Caenorhabditis elegans: one gene and its partner. The protein of the gene in region 1 purifies or fractionates together with the protein of each later gene. This does not show direct contact. Each region holds a gene or a part of one and is shown on either strand. Other genes may lie near its edges. The genes, in order: clec-59 and ZK105.3.

The links.
Region 2: the proteins of clec-59 (region 1) and ZK105.3 fractionate together in Caenorhabditis elegans (co-fractionation; one large-scale study listed by BioGRID). This does not show direct contact.

The regions. Positions count from the first base shown.
Region 1 is NC_003280.10:10,477,241-10,481,065, reverse strand, and holds clec-59 (VWFA domain-containing protein), read left to right. Parts: upstream 1-1,617; coding exon 1,618-1,657; intron 1,658-1,704; coding exon 1,705-1,823; intron 1,824-1,871; coding exon 1,872-1,985; intron 1,986-2,030; coding exon 2,031-2,230; intron 2,231-2,277; coding exon 2,278-2,474; intron 2,475-2,523; coding exon 2,524-3,044; 3' UTR 3,045-3,062; downstream 3,063-3,825. Other genes in the region: clec-60 (VWFA domain-containing protein), read left to right, coding at 1-96, 144-346, 394-914; ZK666.4 (Pepsin-I3 domain-containing protein), read right to left, coding at 3,373-3,807.
Region 2 is NC_003283.11:7,695,336-7,701,476, forward strand, and holds ZK105.3 (Glycosyltransferase), read left to right. Parts: upstream 1-1,806; coding exon 1,807-1,998; intron 1,999-2,041; coding exon 2,042-2,156; intron 2,157-2,205; coding exon 2,206-2,327; intron 2,328-2,414; coding exon 2,415-2,500; intron 2,501-2,547; coding exon 2,548-2,626; intron 2,627-2,801; coding exon 2,802-2,908; intron 2,909-2,953; coding exon 2,954-3,118; intron 3,119-3,161; coding exon 3,162-3,482; intron 3,483-3,681; coding exon 3,682-3,823; intron 3,824-3,883; coding exon 3,884-3,959; intron 3,960-4,000; coding exon 4,001-4,083; intron 4,084-4,155; coding exon 4,156-4,528; intron 4,529-4,581; coding exon 4,582-4,753; intron 4,754-4,955; coding exon 4,956-5,075; intron 5,076-5,122; coding exon 5,123-5,254; intron 5,255-5,301; coding exon 5,302-5,425; 3' UTR 5,426-5,479; downstream 5,480-6,141. Other genes in the region: srsx-40 (G_PROTEIN_RECEP_F1_2 domain-containing protein), read right to left, coding at 5,713-5,921, 6,021-6,141.

The DNA of each region.
Region 1 (3,825 bases):
GCTTGCAAGAGCAGAAGATGTACTTGAAGCCGGCAAACAAGGGTACAACCGTACTCATTATCAGAGAGTTGTGATTGTCTATGCATCAGCTTACAAGTATGTTCTTTAGACAGTTTGTGCAACCATTTATTGCTTGTCTTTAGGGGATCCGGAGCCTTGGACCCAGTGCCAGTTGCTGAAAGACTGAAAACTTCTGGAGTGACTGTTATTACTGTGGCATATGATCAAGACGGAGACGGTGCTCTTCTTGCAGATCTGGCAAAGATTGCATCTCCACCATACAACTTCACGAATACCGAAGACAACGGGCAAGTTATTGGAGAGATTCAGGATGCTTTGCTGCAAGGTTTGTTAAAGGAACTTATATTATATAGCAATACAAACTATTTTCAGTGAACTGTTTCTGCCGAAACTCGTGGATTCAATACCGTGTATCTTACACTGATGTTCACTCCTACCGCTACGGTGTCTGCATTCTTCCAGTCGGTTTCAATGCGGTATGGCGCGCTGCCAAATCTTCATGCATGAACCGAAATGCATATCTTGTCACTGAATTCGATTCGAACAAACACGATTATGTCCTGACTGCAGTGAGCAATTACACAGGATTCAGTGTACCTCTAACTTATCACAACGGACTCAGTATGGTCAAAGGTGTCTGGGTATGGGATCAACCACAAGGAATGCCTCAACCACAGCTTCAAAGTTATGCAGGATGGAATCCAGGATATCCCATTTCGGACTCTACTCTCACAGGAGTTCTGAATCAACAATCAAGTGTGCAACTGCAGTCTGGATGGCAGAATATCAAGCCACTGACGACTGGAGCCAATTATGTTTGTGAAACGGCATCTTGCGATACTGATAATTACTGCACCGAAGCTGGACTTGCTGAAATTTCCGTAAAACACTAATATACACGATACATACTTGTTGTTGTATAATAATAAATTCTGATTCTACAGACCGTATTTATTTTATTAGTACTGCTTCTCCCTCTTTGTAATAAAAATTTGGAATCCAGGTGTTTCAAACCAACGAATAAGCGGACTTTTGGTGACTGGATGGCAGAATATTAAACCATTCAATGCAGATGTTTGTGAGACTGCGTCTTGTGATACTGATAATTCAACTCTTAGTTTGTGAAGTTAAATTTCTAACAATCTAGCAAAAACTGAAATAAATTTATTCGGCTTTTCTCAATAAATAATTAACTTTCTTTTTTCTCTTTTCGTTTGCTACAACTTAAAAAATTTTTAGCAACACTGTTCACCAATAATTTTGAAGGAAAAATTACGTTAACCAATTGTTTCACAACAAATGAAATCTCCCGTACTTTTTCAATTAGTACGGCATTTCAAAACATTGCAACTACTTTTCAAAAATAGTAGTACGAAAATAAGTTACCAGTGGTGTTATCAGTTAAATAATTCCTCAATACAACAAAGTTTCATCCGTTGGTTTTTTTTGAAAACAAGAGACAGTAATAAGGTGTGTCTGGGATACTTCAATTCAAACATACACTCTGCATCTTGTGTATTATCATTTTAATGAAACTTCCATGTGTATAAAAGAGAGAATGAATTGAGAAAAATAATCATTCATTTGTTTGCAAAAATGAGTAAAAACATTTGTTTGCTCTTCTTCTTGTTTCATGGTAAGTCTTATTTCAATCAATTACCTGCCAAAATTAGTAACTTTTAGCATACCTTTCTTCGTCCTATACGGATCGCATATGTGGACAAGATTTGAGTAATTTATGGTTGGATGTTGTAGCTGTTGTGGATAACTCTGCTGGAATGACCAAGGGAGGATTGACAAGTGTACGGTAATTCTAATCAAATTATTCTATTGAAAAGAGCATATTTCAGGTCGCTGCAAATATTGCTTCCATATTCAGTAAAAATACACAGATTGGCACTAATCCGACAAGTCCAAAGACTACAAGACTAGCACTAGTGACATACAATGTTGATGCCACAACTGTAAGCGTTTCCCTAAACTGTTGTTCCTCATTAGTATTGTTCCAGGCGGCGGATCTAAACAAGTTCCAATCAATTGATGATATCTATAGTGGAATTAACTCTGCTTTGGCAACAATAAGCTCTTCTGAAGAATCATATCTTGCCAGAGGGCTTTCACAAGCCGAGAAGGTTTTTCAAGCGGGAAAGCATGGATTTAACCGTGCTCATTATCAGAAGGTTGTGATTGTATATGCATCTACATACAAGTGAGTTGCATTTTTTGGAATCCCAACTAAAAACCAAAAAATTTCAGAGGAAGTGGAGACTTGAATCCAGTTCCAGTTGCTCAACGCTTGAAAACCTCTGGAGTTACAATTATCACCGTGGCATATGATCAAAATAAAGACGGAGACATTCTTGTTGATCTCGAGAAAATTGCAACTCCTTATCACAATCTCTCGAATGAAAATTTGAATGTTATCGGAGAAATTCAAGGATTTTTACTTCAAGGTATCTCAAACTGAGTTGATTTTATAAAGAAATAACACGTATTGTTCAGCAAATTGCTTCTGTCCAACTTCTTGGATTCAATACCGTGCTTTGCATGATGACGTGGATTCTTACCGTTACGGAATCTGCATTCTTCCAGTTGGATTGACTGCCGTCTGGCGTGCTGCTCAATTATCATGCCGTAATAGATGGAGAAATTCATATCTTCTCAATGAATATGACAACAGGAAACACAATTTTGTTATATCATCTGTCAAAAACTTCTCTGGTTTCCATTTTCCATTAAGCTATCACATCGGACTGAACAAGGTCAATGGAATGTGGCAGTGGGATCAGCCACAAGATTGGACACAACCACAACTTCAGAACTATGAAATCTGGAATTCAGGATATCCAATATCTGATTCCTCGTTGACAACTGTTTTGAATCGACAGACAACTGTTGATTTGGAAATTGGATGGCAAAACGTTCATCAATTCGCAGCTGCCTCCAACTATGTATGTGAAACTGCTGCTTGTGACACTAATAACTACTGTTCCTCTGGAGGTGATTCCATTTCAAACCATTAGTTTTATATGTAATTTATTATTATTAATGTTGATTTTCTTCATACTATGTACAATTGTTGTCAAACAAATAAATTCAATTCTTTGATTGCTTTTAATTTAATGAATAAAATTGTGAGACAAACTTTAACGATCTTTCAGTTATACTGATTAATTTATTGATTAGGAATTAGAAAGGACAACAATAAAAAACACGGGAAATTTTGCTTTAAGCGGAAAATTACAAAATATTGAACAAGATAAAAGGTAAGAAAAAATAAATAAATGACCGGCAAATGAAAAGTACAGAAAACAAATTGGCACTTGGAGAGTTGTAAGAGTTAATGAGAAATTATTGAAACTTAGAAGTATGAGTAGACTTCTTCTTGATTTCCTTGGCGAGCTTTGGGTTGTAGAATGGATTGGCAACGAGTTTCATAGTTGTCTTGGAAGCAACATATTCTGGATCAAAGAATGGGTTTGGAATGAGATGGGCTGGAGCAGGAGATGTTGAAGCTGATTGTCCAGTTGAAGTGTCTCCACTGCAGAATCCGGAGTCCATTCCAGTGTCACTGAAGCAGGCATCATCGGAGAATTGTTCCTGATTGGCCAAGTTCTCGTAGTAACGGTACTCTTCTTGTCTCTCCATCATGAAAACAGCCATTTTTCGAGCATGCTCATCAAGGCAAGATTTCTGATGAGTACTGAGACGCTTATTACGGGGGAAGAATTGGAAGATGGAAGCATTGTTGTAGAGAGCAAAGGAAGGAATTTGAGTGTATTCCATTTTGGCAATAATAATAGG
Region 2 (6,141 bases), on another chromosome or scaffold:
GATCTCCATTATTCACGACTTAATAATTATTCTATAATTATTGCATAAGTATTACTGTAATTGAACTCTACTGGCGAAGATCACTACTACGAACAATCCACATCCACATTGCTCTGAGAACTACATCATGCAACCAAGAACAAGGACGTCAATCCATTAAACACGTGAACCACTACCGCATGCACAAAAGGATGACGGACGCGAGCAGCCACGTGGTGACCTTTCCACGTCTACACCGACGACCACAAGACACGTGTACAACACCGCCCAACAGGAGATGCTCATCGAATCAGTCTTAACTTTTTACTCGCTTCATGTTCTTACTTTATGTTCTTGCGTTACTTGTCTATTAGTGTTACTAGTTGTCTATAATAAATCCTTGTAGAGTCACCAAGTGTACTGTTAGTTTAACTTATATAAAATACCACTGAACGCACTGCAAAACACTGCAGGCTTTCTGGAAAATGTTTTACCGCTTTTATACCGCTTGTAAATAACTTTGTTTTAAAAAATGAATATTTCAAAAATTTACTGTTAACCAAATAGTCTTGATTTGCATGATTTGCATGCAAATTTACTGTTAACCAAATAGTCTTGATTTGCATAAACTGATTTTTATCAATGTGGAATCTATAATAATGGTTCATATCTTTTCATTAACATCCTAGATTTACTGAACGATTTTTATAGTTGTGTTTCATTCAACGAGTTAACTAAATAAACATTTATAGTGTCTTGATAACTTTCCTCCAGAAAAGTGATAATGAAATTCTACGGAGAAAGTACACTTTTTGATCGACAACAAATTGCATTCTGAAAAATTATTTCCTACAAAATGTATGTACCACGAATGTTGCAGAAAAATCTTATCCTTTTACTTTAATTAATATTTTAATTGAATTAAACTATTTACTATTAGGGCTTTTGATGCCTGACTCATGACTGTTTTGGCCAATTGTTTGCATTTTGATGTCAACTCTTCTCAGACAAACGCTTAGTCGTCTAATTAGATTTCAACCAAATATAATGGGGACATAATTCATATTTGTTTAGAAATTCATGTTTGATTATATTTGCTCCATATTTTATTATAAAATCCATGTTACATTAGATTTGTTCCATATTAGATTAGAAATCCATATTTGATTAGATTTGTTCCGTATTGGATTAGATTTAAACCAATTTCATTAGATTTGTTTTATATTGGATTGGATTTCAACCATATTTGATTAGAAAATCCATATTGGATTAGAATAGGAAGCCTATTAATTATGTCCCCATTTGGTTGAAATCTAATTTTTGGTTGAAATCTAATTAGAGGACTAAGCGTTTATCTGAGTTGTGTTAAGTGTTTGCACATTGTAAAGGGTTATCTCTTTATTTTTTCTAACTTTGAAAGAAGAAATGGTTGAAATTCACTTCTATGAGACCAATATGACCAAATATCGTAGAAAAACATTTCAACCTTTTTTGAAAACTTATTATTATGGTCTCATTATGTTTTAAATATTAATATTCAAGCACATTAAATTTCTCAGGGAAATTTAATATTAGAATGGTATCCATCATATTGAGTTATAGGGGTCTCAAAGCAGCTGGGTTCAAAAGCAGCTAGCTGGTCATATAAAGAGACCACCACGTTGTAACTTCCATGAACATTTTGTATGTTCTTAAAAACGCCAAGTCGATCGCCGGACATCTGAACTTGTCTATTGTGACAAATGTCTCATCTCACTCTATCTTTTGTTTCTTTTATATAGATTCTAAAACAAGTATCAAGTGTTTATTCCACGAAAGTAATTTCAGATGAATTGGTCGATAAAGGCGTTGCTGTTTATTTCCTGCGCAACGACATTTTGCTATGTTGCACTAATGGGAAAAGCGGATCTATCTGCAAATGTAAAAAGAACAGAACTAATATCACCAGTTGTTGAAATAAAGAATGGAAATAAATGGATTGTTGTCACAAGTGTCAGTGCTCCAACTGAAGATGTTAAAGTAAACCGGTTCAGTGGTTTCAAATAACTGATACCATTTTCAGAGACTATCTTCATTTCCAGACTGGAACTTAGTTGTAGTAGCAGATACTAAAACTCCATTGGATTGGAAATTGGAAAATGTGCATTTCTTATCAGTCGAATATCAGAAGCAGTTGCGTGAGTTAAACATTGAATTCAATTTTTAATGCCAAATTTATATTTACAGCATTCTCCATATCTGCATTGCTCCCCTATAAATCATACACTCGAAAAAATATAGGCTATTTGTATGCAATTTCTCACGGAGCTGAATGGATTTATGACACGGATGATGACAATAAACCATATGTTAAGTTTACATTTTTTCAAGAATTTTTGTCCCATGAAATATCTGCTAATGATGGCATGTAAGATCTATGGGAACATTTGATTTCAGGTCAAGGATTAAAGCAATTCGACTTTGATGACACAATATCGGGAGTTCGGTATCGGCCTCAAATGAGAAGTGAGGAAAGAATATTGTAAGAAATTTCAAATATTGTGATTGCCTTTCATAACAGTTTTCTAGAAAACGACTTTTCAATCCTTACCGATTTTATGGAATGGATCAAATGTGGCCAAGAGGGTTTCCATTGGAACATATTGAGGTGGGAAAAAGTTAAGAGACAAAGGAAGACTTATGTATTCCTGTACGAACCTTCGCATTATTAATTCCACAGCGTGTTTTTTTATTTGTTTTTTAATATTGCAAAAAAACCAAATGACTTGTTTTCTTGAAAGCAATTATTTCCAAAAAAGTGAAAAAATTTCAAAAACGTTTAGAAACACACGAATGGGAACGATTCACAAGTATTGTGTTATCAAATGAAACGAGCAGCTGTGCAACAAGGTTTAGTGCGCCATGATCCGGACGTGGACGCAATTTATAGGTATGGAAAACTTTCAGTTATAAAGAAAATGTATAGAAATTTCAGACTGCTTCACGCTGACACTAAATCTGGTTTAAACTTGAAATTCAATAAGTTTGCTCCTCCCATAACTTTGTCCGTTGGCACATATTCTCCATGGAACTCACAGAATACATTGTTCCACAAATCAGCATTTCATACTTTGTTCCTCCCGACTACGGTGTCATTCAGGTTTACTATAAAATATTTTCATGGTTGACTTTTGATATTCCAGAACCACTGACATTTGGAGATCTTTTGTTTCTCAGAAAATCTTGCATTTATCCGGATTAACAGTGTCATTCGTACCAACAAACGCGGTACAATTCAGGAATGCGCATGACTATTTGAAAGATTTCAAGGACGAGAAACAAGTTTATGAAGATTCTGGAAAAATGATAGAATATCTTCATGACTGGAAATGTGCCCCTGAAAACTCTAGCGATTTGGAGAGATGTGTGAAACAGTTGGCTAATGATCTAGTTGAAGTGAAACTGTGGGGTAAAGAGGATGCTATGTTGACGGAAATGTTTTTGAACGATTTGAAGAGAGTGGGGTGAGTTGAAAAGAAAATGGAAGATTCTAGAAACGTAAAACAAATTTTCAACTAAAAGTTACATATCTGATAGTGAGTTTTATTATAAAAGTGAGTTTTAATATAAGAGGTGATTTGTAAAAGAAAAGAAACAATTATACATTTTTCACAAAAAATGGTAAAAGCGGTATTTTCAAATATACTCTTCTACTATTTATAGATTTGAATTCCCCCGCATACTTGATGGAAATTACGAGGATCCTTATACTCCATCGAAAAACGAAACCTCTAGAGATGTGAATTGCAGGAGAATGCAGCTAGACTTTGAATTAAAAGAAACAAAGAAAACTGACCTAGATGAGGTGGGAAAATTAACTCTCAAAAATGTATGAAACATGTGATATTTTATCTATTCATTCCAGAATGTTCAACGGGCTACTCGGAAAATAAATTATTTCGGAGATATCGTTTACTGGTGTAACGAAACTGATTATTCTAGTAAGTGTTCAATGTATGATTTTCTAATTCAGTATTCTCAGACTTAACGAATCAGTTCCCTTCTCCAGAGCAGCTTTCCAGGAAGCACGAAAACTCGTATGTTCTCAAAAAGAACTTAAACACGGTATGTTTGTCATTGTTAACCCGTTTTAGTTTTAAAAACAAACAACATAAATTTTTTTAACACAATTTTCAGGTCCTAATAGTTGTCAACAATTACCCATGGAAATATGGAATGGGTTTATTTCAAAGACTCTACGAACCATATTTTGCATCGACAATTTTCTGCGGTTCCTGGTATCCGGAAAATTTTACAAACGTTGATAACTTTACATCAACTATTTTTCCAATCAACTACGTTCATGTTAACCCTGCTGAAATCCACAAAGGATATTTTGCATATCATTGTGTCACTTTGGTTAAAGAAATGCGACTTAGCAATGTGGAAGGATATTTCATGATGGCAGACGATGCAATATTCAATATCTGGCAAAGAATTGATTACTCGAGAGTTTTCCATTTGAATGGAATCTACAACATTTCAAACGTTTGGTGGAGCGGAGATTATGGTGATTTGAAAATATTGGAACTTTCTTTTAGGTTTCTCCTTGTATTGTTGCAGGAAAAAAAGCAGCTATCAACATTTTGAAAACTATCAAAATCACTAACAATACAAAATTTCAAGATGCATGGAACAAATTTGACAAAGGATTGCAAAATTACGCTTTCTTCAACTTGACAGATAACGCAGAAACACAAATGCTGAATCCGATTGGAAAAAGTATCTCAGATTTGTGAGTTATGATTGCATCTTACTTTTCGGTAGGGTAAAGTTACACATGATTTTTGTGCACATTAGAAAAAACAAGTGACACATTGTTCACATCAGGGATGTGCGGCAAATCTCAAAATGCCAATTCGGCAAATTCGACAAATTCGGCAAACTTGCCGCACGCCCCTGGTTAACATATATCACAGTAATAATTCAAATTTCAGTTACTATATTCCCACATTACAAAGCGAGTACTATGCCAGTCTTATGCGGTTATTCTATGAAAACCAATTCTTCTTGGAAATCGCAGTGAATAGGTTTTTGCGATCCGTGGATCATTCAACGTAAATCAATTGTAAGCTGATTGTATTTATATGCAATTAAAGTTCAGATCTCTCTATGCTCGAACCAGTTATCTTTGGACAAACCGTGAGAAATGGGATACAGTTTATCACAAGAATATGGTTGCAATGCATCCTGTCAAAATTAGTAAATTCATGAAACCTGGTGCAGCTAGAAAGCGGTGAATTTTTTTTTCAGAATTTAGCAATAAAGTTCGAATTCTTGTAGATATTGCGCTTCAATACTTCAAATTTGGTCGGATATTATTTTCGGTGGATCTCGTAATTACACGGATAAAAGTGACGAAGAAATAGATTATATCAACGGGTTTCCTGTTAGACAGTTATATTAGTTATATTATTAGACAGTTATAGTTTCTTGAATTGAATTATGAATTGATCATTTTTTCTTAAATCGTTTATTGAAAGCATATGCAATTAAAAAAAAAGTGCACGTCAGACTTTTGTCAATTTTAGTTAAACTTTGTTCGCCTGAATAGTTGTCTGCTTATGAAAATGTACTTGTTGCAATTACTGGTCCAACTTGTTGACTTGATGCAAAAAATCTTGAAAACGCTTTTCGAAAGTCTCGTCTGTAGTTTTACAAATTAAAAAATCAACTCCTTGTAATCAAAAAAACTTACACAGTATAGCAAAATAAAGGGAGGGTGAAGCTTTGAGTTGAAAAGCTGATAATTCCAGCTGTTAGCTTTACAATTTGAATGCTTTCCAACGTGCTTTTGAAGTAAATGTTACCCATGAACATCACTGAATACGACAGAAACGCACCAAAGTAGTACATTACAGTGATTTTGATTAATGCTTGCACAATTGAAATGTTTGTGGAATCTTTAAAAAATCACATTACAAGTATTTCTGTTTGCCCGAAGAGTTTTTGCGCATTAAACAGTCCTATACTATTCCTATACTACAATCCTATAAACTCACCGTATTCCATAGCCTTCATCCGATAATTCACGAAATATTGCAGTGGGAATAAGATAATTGCAAATGAGAACGTTGAAACTTTGTACAAGTAGTACGCGTCGCCAAAACAGTTTGAAAGAAC